2 linked regions of the Sus scrofa genome follow. The main gene of each other region encodes a partner of the protein of the gene in region 2 in a complex. Links are inferred from orthologs where the notes say so. Each region holds a gene or a part of one and is shown on either strand. Other genes may lie near its edges.

The links. The genes of interacting proteins can lie anywhere in the genome.
Region 1: GTF2A1 (region 2) and POLR2C share a complex: the UniProt entries of both Homo sapiens proteins name them as parts of the TBP-based Pol II pre-initiation complex. The link is inferred for Sus scrofa from reciprocal best matches to the Homo sapiens genes GTF2A1 and POLR2C.

The regions. Positions count from the first base shown.
Region 1 is NC_010448.4:19,396,997-19,403,696, reverse strand, and holds the end of POLR2C (DNA-directed RNA polymerase II subunit RPB3), read right to left. Parts: intron 5,462-6,700; coding exon 5,333-5,461; intron 4,871-5,332; coding exon 4,819-4,870; intron 4,687-4,818; coding exon 4,518-4,686; intron 4,360-4,517; coding exon 4,285-4,359; intron 3,537-4,284; coding exon 3,392-3,536; 3' UTR 2,578-3,391; downstream 1-2,577. Other genes in the region: DOK4 (docking protein 4), read left to right, coding at 615-753, 913-1,036, 1,150-1,268. UniProt on the Homo sapiens protein: Core component of RNA polymerase II (Pol II), a DNA-dependent RNA polymerase which synthesizes mRNA precursors and many functional non-coding RNAs using the four ribonucleoside triphosphates as substrates.
Region 2 is NC_010449.5:104,004,777-104,012,930, forward strand, and holds the start of GTF2A1 (transcription initiation factor IIA subunit 1), read right to left. Parts: upstream 4,543-8,154; 5' UTR 4,096-4,542; coding exon 4,066-4,095; intron 3,124-4,065; exon of another isoform or gene 3,037-3,123; intron 248-3,036; coding exon 146-247; intron 1-145. UniProt on the Homo sapiens protein: TFIIA is a component of the transcription machinery of RNA polymerase II and plays an important role in transcriptional activation. TFIIA in a complex with TBP mediates transcriptional activity.

The sequences.
Region 1 (6,700 bases), on a different chromosome or scaffold from region 2:
ATGGCTCTGACAGTGGCTGCCATCCACTTGTGTTGGGCCCTGTATTGGAAGCTTAAGGTATTTATCAGCATAGCGTGCTGAGAGGAAACAGAATATCCCCGTTTTCCAAGTGAAGGGATGGAGGTCAAGTGAAGCTGTTTAGCAGGTCAGGCTGCTCGGGTTCCGGTCCGATGCCGGCATTGGCATTGACTAGCTCTGGGACAGTGGATCTGAGTCTCAATTTCCTCATCTGTCACATAGGGCATAGCAGGTCCTCCCTCCTAGGCTGGGTCAAGTATGGTTAAGGGTTGGGTATAGCGTGACCTCTCAAGCCAGCCTGCCTGGACTGAAATTCTGTGTAATTCTCTGGGTCACTCTGGTTGTTACTTACCCTCTGAATGCCTCCGTTTCCTCATCTGTAAAATGGTCGAAGTGGATTAATTCTAGTAAAGCATTTAGACTACCACCTGGCACACAGAAAACATTCAGCACATTTGAGCTGGGGGGTCAGATCCTCAGATGACAGCCCTGCCTGTTCCCACCGGGGCCTGGGGCGCAGAAGAGCCTGACTGGGCGTCTGCACACATACGGGGAAGTCCCCACCACCTCGCCTTCTGTGCTACTTGTGTCCCTAGGATGTGTGACGCTGGGGAAGGGCTCTACACCTTCCAGACGCAGGAGGGAGAACAGATTTACCAGCGGGTCCACAGTGCCACCCTGGCCATTGCCGAGCAGCACAAGCGGGTCCTGCTGGAGATGGAAAAGAACGTGAGGGTGAGGTGGTGTGCTCAGCACGGGAAGGGGGAGCTGGTGGGCGGGCAGGCTGGCGGCAGAGCATGCCAGCAGCCCCCACCCATCAGGTGTGTGGAGGAGGCAGGCAGGGTCTTGGGCCGCCTGCTCTGGCTTAGCCACTGCCCCTTCTCTGCCCCACAGCTGCTCAACAAGGGCACTGAACATTACTCATACCCCTGCACGCCCACTACCATGCTGCCCCGCAGTGCCTACTGGCACCACATCACGGGTTCCCAGAACATCGCCGAGGCCTCCAGCTATGCCGGTGAGTCACTGCTGTGCCCCACACCCACCGGCCAGAGGCTCTGCGGAGGACAGGGCGGGTCCGCAGGGCCTTCTGTCCTGGGATCACGTCTTCAACCTACCCTGTGTCCATAGGTGAAGCGTATGGGGCAGCCCAGGCCAGCTCAGAAACGGACCTCCTCAACAGATTCATCCTGCTCAAGCCAAAGCCCAGCCAGGGGGACAGCAGCGAGGCCAAGACCCCATCCCAGTGACCGCAGAGCGGCGCGCACGGATGACTGCTGGGGCCCCCTGCTGCGGGGCCACTTACCGCGTATTGTGGACGCCTGGAGGGGCTGTTGGCCAAGAGCCTGAAGGAAGGAAGCAAGCTGTCCCTTCTTTGTCCCCAAGGGTGAGACTGGACCAAGGCAAAGGGCTGGCCACGCCACCTGAGCATGTGTGAGGGGCTGGAGCTACCACAGGACTGTATACTGTTAATGATTTTAATATATATGGCTTATGACATATTCTATATTAATAAGATTTCCCCTCTCTGTCCCTCCCTGCCACCACATACATTTTTTAAGCCCATGACCAAACCCCAGTCAAGGCTGTTTTTCAATGTGAACAGCTATTTCCTGTCCCCCAAGGTACCAGCCCTCCTGAGCTGCCAGGGCTAGAGGAGGCAGCCAAGCCGCACTCCCGGCTGGTGCTCTGGCTGCTGGCTTCTCCCAAGCAGGCCAGGGTGGAGACAGCACGCGGCTTCTTAGTCCCTCTGGGCCCACAGAGTGGCACAGGAAGGATCCGAACATACATTGTGCCACTTGGCAGCCTTGCACTTGGAGTTTTAAGCAGAGGTGACATCTCGTTGACACCTCAGGTGAAAATCTGGTTTAAAATGGTTTCTGCCCAGGCTTCTTCCTGCTTAGTAGGCTGAGAAGACACCCTGGGGTTGGGGGTGCTGGTTACCTCAGCCGGGGGAGGATGGCCGGACCCGAGCGTGTCCCTGCCCCCGGGCCAGGCCAGCAGGGAAGGCCAAGCTGCAGGAGGACTGCTGAGGGAGCACCCCGCAGCCCTCTCACTGACTGGGGTGGGCAGGGCCCCTGCAGGGGGAGCCCCTCTGCCCGTCTGGCTCCCGGCCAGCCAGAAGTACTCAGAAACCAAGACCTTCCCACTTCCTCCTCCCCACATGGTGCTGAGGCTCCCTGCTGAAATGCAATTAAAGCAATTGATTTTCTAGTGCTGGTATTTATTGACTACCGTGCAGAAGGGCTATCTTTCTACTCACATCAAACCTGCGGTTGCGTGTGTGTTGAGTTTTTTGTTTTTAATATTTTAGGACTCTGATTTGTGAGAATAGACCTTGTAAATAACCACTGTTCAAGTCGTGGCAGGAGGAGGATAAAGCAAAAGGCCCCCTCCGCCAGAACCCTGGAGCCAGGGAGGTGGCCACAGCCAGCTCAGCTTTGGACCTGACCCAGGGACCCACCACCCAGAGGAGTAAGCTAGCCTGAAGGGAGCCCCGAGGCCACGGAGAGGGAGGCGGAGCTGACTGGCTCACAGGTAGTGGCACGATGACGCATGAAGGAGATGACGTTGTGCTCTTTATTGCCAAAAATAAAAACTTTTAAAAGACAACTCATACACATCCCTTCCTTTCTGTACTAGGTCTCTGATTTTCTCCAGGCTTCTCTGGCCAGGCTGCCTAATTAACTGCTTTGGGTATGTTCCTACCTCTAAGGCTGAGCCAGGGGCAAGGCCAACCTTTCCTTAAGTCCCCTGCCCTCCTGACAAATAAATGGGCCACTGTTGTTAAGTTCATAACTGATGGGGAGAGGGGGACAGCCTGGGTCTAACAGTGTTCTCAAAGGGTCTCAAGTTAGGGACTCCTGGGAATATGAGAGAAGTGCCAGTACGCGGGTCAGGGCCGGGACTGGAAGGACCTGCAGGCGGCCTGAGAAAGAATTCTAGAGTCAATCCTAACACAGAAGCCTGAGGTACAAGAGCGAAATCCCAATTTGTGGACAGGAAGGATTCAAACTAAAGCACTGAACTGATCAGAAAAGGAGAGTCCAGCTCAGTGGTTCTCAACCGGGGGACGCCAGGGCCCCTGGAGGCACATCCGGCGTTGTGGAGAGCACCACTGCCCATCAGCAGGCAGGGCCACGGATGCTCAATGGATGTAGGAGACTTTTCCGCCTCCGACAGCAGTGGCACCCCCGGCAACCTGCGACGGTGCCAGCCTGGGATGGCCTGCCCTCCCCCACCGCTACCTTTCTAGCCAGTACTGCAGGTGTGCCAGGAAGCTTGAGCAACAGCTGTCCAGTCCCCAGGAGCAAAAGTCTCAGGAGAGGCCTGAAATTCAAGAGCTGTTTCTGCTGAGACAGGTGAGCTGCGGCTAGTTTATGGTCAGGACGTCACTCTGGATCTCATGGCTTAATTGGGTCTGTAAGTCACTCAGTTTCTTCTTTAATCCAGAAAGTGCTGAGAGGACAATGGTTTCAGGGCGCAGAGAGCCACAAGATTCCACGTTGTAGTAAAACCTGAGAGGCGAGAGTCCGGTCAGAGGCCTCCGTGAGGCAGCCTGGCCGCCCCCACCCTGGCCACAGGCCCACCCCTTCCCTCCCTTCTGAGTCCTGACTCCTTTCCCCCAGACGAACTCCAGCCCCTGGACTGCCTCCCTCTAACCCCCTACAAACAGAGGTCCCAGGGCACTTTGCAGGGCCTCAGGGAGGCCATAGCTACCTGGAAAGGATACTGTGAGCCTCTCAAAGCTCGTGTGTTTGCTATACATATTCCACACTGAGGGCAGCCAGAAGATCAAGGAAGCAGCGTCACCTGCTCCAGCATTTTCGTACTTTTTACTCTAAGCCTTTGGTCAGATTTGGGACTTAAGTATTTTGTTTTGGGCCACTCCCCACCATATGTGGAAGATCCCAGGCCAGGGACTGAACCTGCGCCACAGCAGTGACCCAAGCCGCTGTCATGGCAGTGCTGGATCTTTAACCTGCTGTGTCCCAAGAGAACTCCCAAGGGCCATAGGTTTTTGATCCTAGGCTGATCTTTCTTTGGGTGTGGAAAATCAGAATAGGGACAGTCTGAATAACAGAAGGGCCCCCCTTTCTCACGGTGACCGCGAGGGGGATGATAAACTGCCTGGGATGTACACAGAGTGGGGTTCAGCAGTGAGCAGCCCCTCCTCAGCTGGCGGGAATGAGAAGGAAGCGAAGGGGCCTCCGGCACTCAAGAGCCTGCACCACGCTACCTTCAGGTGCCAAGCCAGGGACTCACCTCTCTGGCTTGCCGTTGGGGTCGTAGGGCGCCTGTGACTCATCCTCATCCAGCTCCGAGTACTCACTCTTTGGCCTGAGGTCAGACATAGATCAGCACAGGGTTGCTGCCGCAGCCGCTTTCGGGGTGCCCAGGTCTCATGGTGAGGTGCCCCACCTCAGTCGCCAGGAGCCACTTCCACACCCGCCCAACCCTGACCTGCCTGCCTCTCCTCACTCCCACCAGGAACATACCATTCCTCCGGCTTGGGGTACACCGTGTGCCTCAGGGCATTGTCGGGATCATATTCAAAAGCCACCCCTGCAGTGGGGTTCCACTTGGCGTGTTCCTTGCCAAAGCCCTTTTTGGCGTAGGCGCGAAGTCTCAGCTCCTGGCCCTTCCTCAGCTTGACGATGAGGATGTCTGCGGGGAGAGGGGAGAGGTGGGCGAGGGCCAGCAGAGGCCTGGTTCTCCGCAGTTTGACCCGCGCCGCCACTGCAGGACCAGGCAGCACGAGAGGCTGGGTCTGGTCTCTGCCTCTCTTGGGCCCCTTACCGTCCTGCTCCACGTAGTCACTGGGGTCATTATCTCGGTTCCGGGATGTCACCTGCAGGGAACCCAAACAGGCATTATTAGCTGCTGCTCAATGTCCCCATGCACCTCTGCTGGTTGGGGATTTGGCACTGCCATGAGCTGCGGTGCAGGTCACAGATGCAGCTCGGATCCCGCGTTGCTGTGGCTATGGTGTAGGCCAGCGGCTACAGCTCCGATTCGACCCCTGGACTGGAAACCTCAACATGCCTCGGGTGCAGCCCTAAAAAGAGAAAAGACAAAAAACAAAACAGTACCACAGCCTTCAAAGGGTCCTTGGGAGACAGGGGGCCCAGAGCACCAACAATGGCTCTGCCCACCCTGGCAAGACTCCAGAATCAGCACTTCCAGGCACCAGGCTGAGGTTAAGGCAGAGGGCACACAGGGAAAGCCAGTGTTTTATAAGGAGCCACCCGAGTCTGGTCCACTCGGAGCCAAGAGAAGAGCAAAGGCCCTGGGCAGGGAGGATGTCGCTGACCGGAATGACCCGGGGGCTGTTGGAGATGAGGTCTCGGGATGTGACGTGACGCGTCTGGTCTTCGTTGCACCGCACATCGAGGGTGAACTCCACCGAGCACTCGGGGCAGAACTCCTCACAAGTGCAGTCCTGAGGCAGGAAGAGAGGCAGGAGTGAGTCTAGAGAGATGGCGAATCCCGGCCTGGCTCCCTGCTTCTAACACCCCGTCCCTTAAGGTCCTTCCCTGGGAGAGGGCAGAGCACAGCCTCCAGGCTCCCGTGGGCTGTGTCCATCCCACACGCCATTCTCGGGCTGCTCAAGGGCAGGCTCGTCCCAGCTCAGAGACAGCTGTGTCTACCCCCCGCGCAACACCAGGCCACCACCAGGAGATGCACTAACATCTCACCCTACCCTCAGAGCACTCTTCTTCTAGAACCAAGGCACTGAGAGAGGAGGCAGCTTTCATCCTGCACAGCTCTGTGTCCCATAAGCTAAGTGACTGGCTTAGGAAAGCCATCACCATTTAAAAGGAAATAATCCAGGGAACAAGAAAAAATCTATCTTTTAAGTTCCAGACTACAGACCTTCTCTAAAAAAAAAGTCACAGGTAATGTATGAATTTATGGAAATTTTCATACATTCACAGAAGCAGAGAAGACTTAAGAGACTGTCACTATGTAACCATCACTCAGCTTCATTAACTTTCAAGTGTGCCATTCTTTACACTGATTCTTAAACATTCCCGTGTTAGAGACGAGCTGCTACCATTTAACCTCAGGCAAAAAGAGTTACTAGAATGTAATCAAGCAAACCTTCCCACTTCCTACCAGTGAAGAAAATCCAACCTACTTTTTGTTGTTTTCAAGACAATGAGGAAGAACTAGGGCCCACACCTGGTCAATTTGCAATCACACACTGCTGAGGCAGGAAGACAGCCTAGGCCCTCAAGACTGCATCATTCTTAGGAATATGAAATTAAAAGTATTCAATCTCAAAAAAAAAAAAAGTATAATAAAAAAAGGAGTCTGAGAGATCAAGAGAATAAAAAGGTATAATAACTAAATGCAATCTTGATTGGATCACAGACCCACAGACAAAAACCAGTTAGGACATTTTGAGGATAACTTGGAAAATCTGAATTTGGACTGTATATTGATAGTACAAATCAATGCTAGATTTCTCTTTTTTTTGGCTTTTTAGGGCCGCACCCGTGGCGGAAGTTTCCAGGCTAGGGGTTGAAGTGGAGCTACAGCTGCTGGTTTACACCACAGCCACAGCAGCTCAGAATCCATGTCAGTGACCTACACCACAGCTCACAGCAACACCAGATCCTTAACCCACTGAGCGAGGCCAGGGATGGAACTGTGTCCTCATGGATACTGGTCAGGC
Region 2 (8,154 bases):
GCTCGGATCCCGCGTTGCTGTGGCTCTGGCATAGGCCAGCGGCTACAGCTCCGATTGGACCCCTAGCCTGGGAACCTCCATATGCCACGGGAGTGGTCCTAGAAAAAAAAGGCAAAAAGACAAAAAAAAAAAAAGGCAAACTCACAGTTTTTAGTTCCATCAGAACTTGTTCATCGACTCCATCATCCAAAAAGATGTCTCTCACATCATTAATAACATCTTCGATCACAGATCTGTATAATTTAGGCTTTAAAAGGAAAATAAAAGACTATTGAAAAAGATTGCTTTTCACATGTTAAAATATACAACACGTTTTCACAAATTCAAAACAAATTAAATGTAATACAATGATCATTTTTCCAACTCTATAAAACTTATTTTAGAAAATATAACTTTAAAGACATGGCCATTCCAATAAATACCATTTGTCTTAGTTAAAATGAGTTTTTTAATGACTGCGTGTTTTAATAAAACAATTCATACACAGGAGATCACTACCCATACAAGGTCCATACAATTTCCAATGTTGTTATAGTCAAAACACTTAACATTATCCAACCATACAGTTTTATGGGTTGCTATGTCTGGTTATTATTCCTTGCTTGGTTTAACTACTGTTACATCTCTTTAACATTACCACTGTCTTAGACTTGAGAAAACCTTGTGTCCCGTGATCATGTGCCTGGTAATCTGCAACCTAATGAGTATTCAAAATCAAAAATCACCTAATTTTTATTTTTGTTACCCAGTCTGTACCTTTAAATTATAACATTAGGTTGTTCAATGTATCTATAATAACAGGTCTCAAGGTCTCAGGAACAATGATCTCTTTTCCAGGATTTCTCTCCTTCTACTACTGCCCAGATGATGCTACAGAACTGAATCATGAACAGCCTCAGTGTTTATTTTCAAATTATTGTTATTATCATCGCAGTTATTATTGTTGGCATTACTGGTAGGGGAGCTTGCTTTTACAAGGCTGCCAGAAAAATAAAACGAGAATAGATGTGAAAGCACTTTCAAAAGCACATAGTTTTTTAAAACCAAAAGGTAAGAGACAGGAATTATTTTTAACATGACAGACAAAAGGAAGTTTGCCTGTTAGAGTATAAAACCAGAGTGACCTTGTTATAAATCCTATCTATTATTATACAGAGCTAAAAGCCTTTTTCTTCTAATTCTTTGTCATTATTTGTGTTTTATATCTTGCTTAAGTTAAAATAAAACCAAGGGATTGCTCTCATAAGCAAACCTCAAACAGAAATAAACGTTTCATTAGCATTTCTATCAGCAATACAGTTATCATAGGGGGAAACCTCTAAGAAAATCCGTCCTTATCTAGTCAACAATACAAATAGTAAGTTCCTCCATACAACCTACCTCGACTATTAAAAACTACTTGTGCCCTTTCATCACCAAAGAAAAACAATTCATGTACCTAGGTTCTCACCTTTGCTGTTCCATTCACTAACTTCCTTTTTTATTTTTCCAAATCTGCCTCTGTGAATAAAATTATTCATGTGTAAAATCTGCATCTCTATAGTGCCTCCTTATTTCAACACTGATTCCATAATGAGGAAAGTCTATATGACTATGGATATCACTTTATCTATGGTAATTCAACTACTGAATTACAAAAATATATATATATATATATTTAAACCAAGGCATTATAAAGCCCCAGTATAATTTTAAATTAGTAGTATAAATCTTATATTGATGATATAAATTATTTTTTCAGCAAACTAGATGCTGTTTTAGTGTTTCTGAAGTCAGTCACCCCTAAAAATATCTGCTTGGTGATCCACACATTTATAGGTACAATGTGCTTTCCTCTGGAACTCCCTACTTAATGAATCAATCTTACTTTAAGAGTTTGCCTAGGTGCTTTAATTAACTTGCAAAGTGACCACAGAGATTCACATGCACTACAGCTGAAGGAAGGGAAATGTGTATTCTTCAGAAGTATACGCATAAAGAGTAATTCAGGATTGCTCATTAATTTAAAAAGTGTCCAAAATACTGATGTTATTAAAAATATGTGAATACATAGGCACTATGTGAACTAAGCAAGTTCATTTAAAATGCTAAACTTTATTTTACTTGAGCCAAAGTTTTTGTCTTTTATGAAATACATAGTAATCTAGGTTTGTCCTGTTTTTCAAAAACAAGATAGTCCAAACTTTGAAACTTTAATTAAAGGGCCATCAGTGGCATAAGCTAATGATTAAAGGGTTTCTTCAAAAGTTTGAGACTCTAGTACAATATTGGAAAATAAACTGGATTAATATCTATATTGGATACCATATTACCATGCAAATAAATGAAAATACCGTCTACTTAGAATTTTAATTTTTGAATACCCAGTTTGCACTAAGCCTTCTCACATTATTCATAATATCCCATACATACACGTATTGTTGACAGGAGGTCCTATGTCAAAGCTTTAGATACTTATCTACTTTGAAAAGCTTCGTGTCTCAAATATTTATTATAGGAAAAATAATGAAGTATTACGAGCTATAGTCTAACATTCCCTGAATACTTGATAAACAAAGCACTACCAAAATCAAATCCTCTACAGCTAACAGGTAATGCCTAAAGCTTTTCAAAAACAAACAAAAAACAAAAAAAAATAATGCATGCATCTTCTCAATACAGGAACAATTAAGACATCTAAGCTAAAATTCTCTTTAAAAACAAAACACAAAATAAAAAGGGACAGCAATTCTATTTTCCCCTAACAAAGGTTAAGTCCCAGCTGCTGCATCAAAACAAAAACTTAGGGCTCCTAAAGCAGCCCCGATTGGGTATGAAATTAGAGTACGAAAGGACTTGGAAATAAATTGAGCTCTACACACGCCTGCCTCTCGCCTCGAGAGCACGCACCTCCCAGCCCCGCTCTCAGCAGCTCTCACTATTTAAAGCCGGATCTGGTGTTTAAATGGAGAGGCGGTGACGTAGGCCTGAAAAGCACCTTCCCATCCTGGCAGAGTCTATATTAGAGAGCGGCAATGGCTCTATATAAACAGGGCAGCCAAAGGGAGGAGGACCACAAGGCTCAGGGACTGAAAGGCAGGGTAAGCGGCCGCAGCCATGATGGATCGACCCGAGTCGTCAACGGTACGGAGTCGGGCGGCCGCGGGCTTGTCTGCATTTGGGACCGGGCAAAAACGTGTTTTATTGTCACAATAAAAATAAGAGAGTGGGGTGGACTAGTGATCACATTGCGTTGGTGACTGAAAAGGTTATTTATGTGACTGCTTTTTGCAAACCTACGTGATCGCAAGTAAGAAAAAAGGGACAAACGGTGAGAAGTAGGCAAATTTCGAGGCGAAAGTGGGGGCACTTTGACCACTGTAAGCTTTGTTTGTTTTGGTGTTTTTGCTAGTCGAAGATACGATGGGGGGGGTTGCTTCCCCTTCGCCATTTTACCGATTCGGAAGGAACCGAGATAAGTGCTTTTCAACCTTCGTCCTTTTTTTTTTTTTTTTTTCTTAAACGTAAAATGGCCCCAGTGAAGCCTCCTAAGCACAACCCGCCACAACACCCAAAGTAACCCCCAAGTAGCCATTAGCCTTCCACTGCGTTAAAGTGGATCGCGGTGGGTCTTGGGGATTCGCCCAGTTCCCAAGACACGGTTTTTGTTTTGAGGCTGCTCGGAGAGCCCTTCTCCAGCCAGCGCGGCAGGACCCGCTTCGGGGAGGAAGCGGAGGCTCCCCTCCCGCCCTCCCTCCTGGCGGATGGGGTCTGGGGCCAGGGCCGCGCGCTCATCCCGGCCTCAACCGCCTCAGCGGCCCGGACCGCCCCGCGGCAGTTCCAGGCCCCGCCGGCACCCCCGCCCTCCCTGCCGCCGCGGCCCCGAGCCCTCGGCACCCCCCCGCGCCCGCCGCCCCGCGCCCCGGCCCGCTCCGCCCGAGGCGGGAAGCGGCGGCGGCAGCGGCGGCAGCCGCGCGGGCAGCTGAGAGTTGAGGCCGGGAGTCGCCGCCGTCCCCGCCCCCGCCCGGTCCGGCCGTTGCTGCCGCCTGAACGAAGCCCCCGCCGGCCACCGAACCACGTCCTTACCACGGTGTTTGTATTTGCCGAGTTCGCCATTTCCACACACAACACAAACAAGAGGGGGGCAAGCCCCGAGAAAACAAGATAAAAACAAAACGAAAAAAAAAAAAAAAAACACCCAGAGGGTGACCCAAGCCACCGCAAAATTGGGGGGGGAATTTTAAACAAAATCGGATCCTGCTGGATTAGAGGGGATCGGCGAGGGGAGGAAGAGGAGGGGGCAGTCCTCCCGGAGCTAAAAACTCGAGGATCGCCCTTAAAAAAAAAAAGGGCACGACCCTTCTGGGGTTTGGGGGGCGTTGCCCGCTCCCCACCCCGCGCCAAGGAGGGAAACCACCACTGGTCGCCGCTCCCCGCGCCGCCGCTGCCGCCACCGGCTGCAGCTCCAGCCGTCCGGTCCGCCCGCTTCTCCCTTTATATAGTGAGCCAACGAGCTGCGCGAGCCGCCGCTGCCGCCGCTGCCGCCGAGAGACAGGGCGGAGGGGGAGGGAGGGGCGGAAAGGGCGGGGGCAGAGGTGGGCGGGGCTGAGCGCAAGACACCGCGAGAGCCGCGTGCGCAGGCGCGCCGGGGCGGAGGCCGCCGCGAGCCGCGTCGTCACGCTCAGGGGAGGGTGTTGTGTGGGCGGGACCCGGGGACTTAAGTAGGGAAGTCCGACCGCGGTCTCCCCAAATGTCGCGTGATCACGTGGTCGGCAACCAGGCGGAAGTCTCCGGCTGCTGTTTTGGGATGAAGAACTTGCAAAGCTCTGTTGGAGAAAAGCGTGAGTTGTGGCGACGCTCGAGTCGAAACCTAGCTGATTCCGCCTCCTGTCGGGAGATTCTGAGCTGTCCCACGCTGGAGGGGCTAGGAAATGTAGGAGCTCTGGCGGCTGCCCCGCTAGGCATGGCTGTGGAAAAGGGCGGGTCACGTGGCCCGGCTTCCGGCAAAAGTTTTAAGTGCGGAGTCATCTCCGAGCGTGAGCTAAGGTCAGACTCCTAGTTGCTGAAGCGTTAGCACGCCTTGCTGAGGGTGGGCCTTTCGCTTGCAAAATTGTGTATGAGTTCCTGAAAGGGAACTGATTTGGTTCCCCTCTTACTACATTCAACAATTATTACATATTATTACATTCCACAATTAATAATCCCTGAAGCCAGCAGAGTTGTCTGTCTCCATCAGTACAACTACAAAGTCTCTTTAAATTTCCGTTCCCCAGAGTCCCGGCCTCTCCAAGCCCACTTACTTCAAATAACTTCTCAAGGTGGTAGAAATGTTAAAACTAACCCCCCAAAAAAGGTCACCACCTGGATTATGACCGCACAACTTTTCCTGGTTTTTTTTTTTTTTAAATGTTGCAAAAATTCAGTGATTCCATATGTTCAGCACGTGCTAACATCTTGAATACTTGCCCTTGACCCATCAACTCTCATGGCTGCAAGAGAGCAGGTAGAAAATGGCCATGTATTCAAGGGCAACTCAGTAGGCGTTTGACCTGCTCTGCCCAAGCTAATCCCGCCTTTATATCAGCATTTCACGCAAAACGGAATACTCTGTTTAGAAGACAGAACTCAACAGTTCCTAATTTTCTTGTCCCTAGGAATTGCGAGTGACATGGAATGCAGTCTGGACAAGTGAGGGAGTTGATCCTCAAAAAGCAAAGCAAAACAAAATGTCAAACTTATGCTCCTGAAAGAAGATTTGAGAAAGATCAGTTGCTTTTCAGTTCCCTGCACAGTGGCCTCTTTGGGAACACTGAAAGAGATAAGACCATAGGAAATCATATTGTCCTATACTATTATATAAAATTATGATTCCATCACCATTTGTAATTCATGTAATATTCAAGTGACCATTGGCCCGAAAAGTTAAATTAACCCATGTCTTTAATTTCTTACCATTTTAAGAGGACTTTTTACCTCCTTATTTAAGTAGTACTGTTTGTACATGGAATCCCTCACCTTTCACCTCTTTTTCTTCCCTATCACTTAGTATTCTTAACTAAATTGATCAAGTGTTTTGACATCAGTTAAAACTAGGATCACTGCAAACAGGACATGGGGTAGAATATATGAGATTTACTTCCCTCAGAAATATTCCTAAAGAGAATAAGGACAGGTATTCTCTGATTGGGTCTGACCTATGAAATAATTGAATATAGTTCTTGAATTTAAAAGGGGAAAAAACCTATTTATGACCTCCATTTAAGACCTTCAGACTCCTTGGAGGCTCTGCATCAGCTTCTCTTTACACACTCTAATTTGCAACAATACCTTGATTAAAGTTTTCCCAAATGTCTTCTCTTCACCCCACAGTATGACTACCAAGTAAACCATCATGGATTACATTCCAGTTTATTGTTTTACAATCTTCATTTAGCTATAGGATTTCTTCAGTTGGGATACGTTTGTGTCAGCCAGTTTAGTTTCAGAAAAAGACATTTTCTGATCTTTCACCAAAATGGTGGGTCTGAATAATTTGGAGGCTAAAGTTCATGAATTCACAAAACTGAACATTTGTGAACAGAAAACTCTTCCCATTTAAGATTGACTGTAGCATTGCACTAAATTGTTTGTATGTGAACTTTTTCTTCATTGTACCTGAAAGCTTAAATAACTGTTCTCATTTTAGCAGTTCCTTACGTGAAACATTTATACTGGCTTTTCAGTTTGTGAACTTGTACTTTGTAGTATCATGTACTTAGTTACATAATAGTGCTCTCTTCTAGATGAATCTTTTTTTTTAAATGTTTTATATTGGAGGATATAAAGTCACTTCTTTTAATATTAATATTCTGTTTTACACCTGATAACTGCCAAACAAAAGAAAAGGAAAAACTCAATGCATAAATTTTAATATACCATAAGCAAAATGACACCAAACCTTAATATGTCTAAACAGTTAAATGTTTTACTGTCCAAATGACTATTTAAGCAACAATGCCAAGAGAGAGGAAAATCTAAAGAGACTATTCATGGAAATTGGCTTAAATTAAAATAATAAATGACTAAATAAAGCAAATGATGTGGCATATTTAGGCATCATACAGCCCTTATAGGTTCAGTAGTATTGGGTTCTTTTGGAGAATACAGAAATTGAGAAGAAAGAGCATATCTCAAACTTGCTAATCCTAGTGAAAGCCTTATTGTGAAGTATACTACATAATTACAGCATTCTTTCAAGATATTAAAAACACATGTATTTCAGTCCAACCAAATGAAGTTATATTCGGGTTCACCTAATTTTGATTTGAAGTATAGTTGATTCACAATATTTTGTCAGTTTCAGGCCTACTGCCAAGTGATTGTTAATTTTTTTTCAGATTATTTTCCATTATAGGTTATTACAAGATACTGAATATAGTTTCCTGTGCAATTAGTAAATCCTTGTTGCTTATCTATTTTATGTGTCAGAGTTTGTATTTGTTAATTCCATACTCCTAGTTTATCCCTCCACCTTCCCCTTTGATAAACACTAGTTTATTTTCTACGTCTGTAAGTCTGTTTCAGTTTGAATATAAACTTGTTTGGGTTATTTTTCAGATACCACACACAAGTGATATCATAAAACGTTTGTCTTTGACTTACTAAGTATAAAAATCTCTAGGTTCATCTGTATTGCTGAAATGGTAATATTTTTATGACCAAGTAATATTCCACTGTAAATATATATATATATATGTATATACACACCACATTGCGGCATGTGAAAATTCCCGGGCCAAGATTGAACCCACGCCACAGCAGCGATCCAGGCTGCTTCAGTGGCAATGCCGGATCCTTAACCTGAAGCACCACAAGACAACTCTGACAACATCATAAGCCAGTCAGCTGTTGAGAGGCACTTAGATTGTTTCCATGTCTTGGCTGTTATAAATAGTGCTGCTATGAATGTTGGAGTGCATGTATCTTTTCAAATTAGAGTTTTTGTCTTTTCCAGATATATGCCCAGGAATGGGATTGCTGGATTCTATGATAGCTCTATTTTTAGTTTTTTAAGGAATCTCCATACTGTTTTCCATAGTTGCTGCACCAGTTTACATTCCCAGCAGTGTAGGAGGGGTCCCTTTTATCTTCACTCTCCAGCATTTATTATTTGTAGACTTTCTGATGATAGCCATT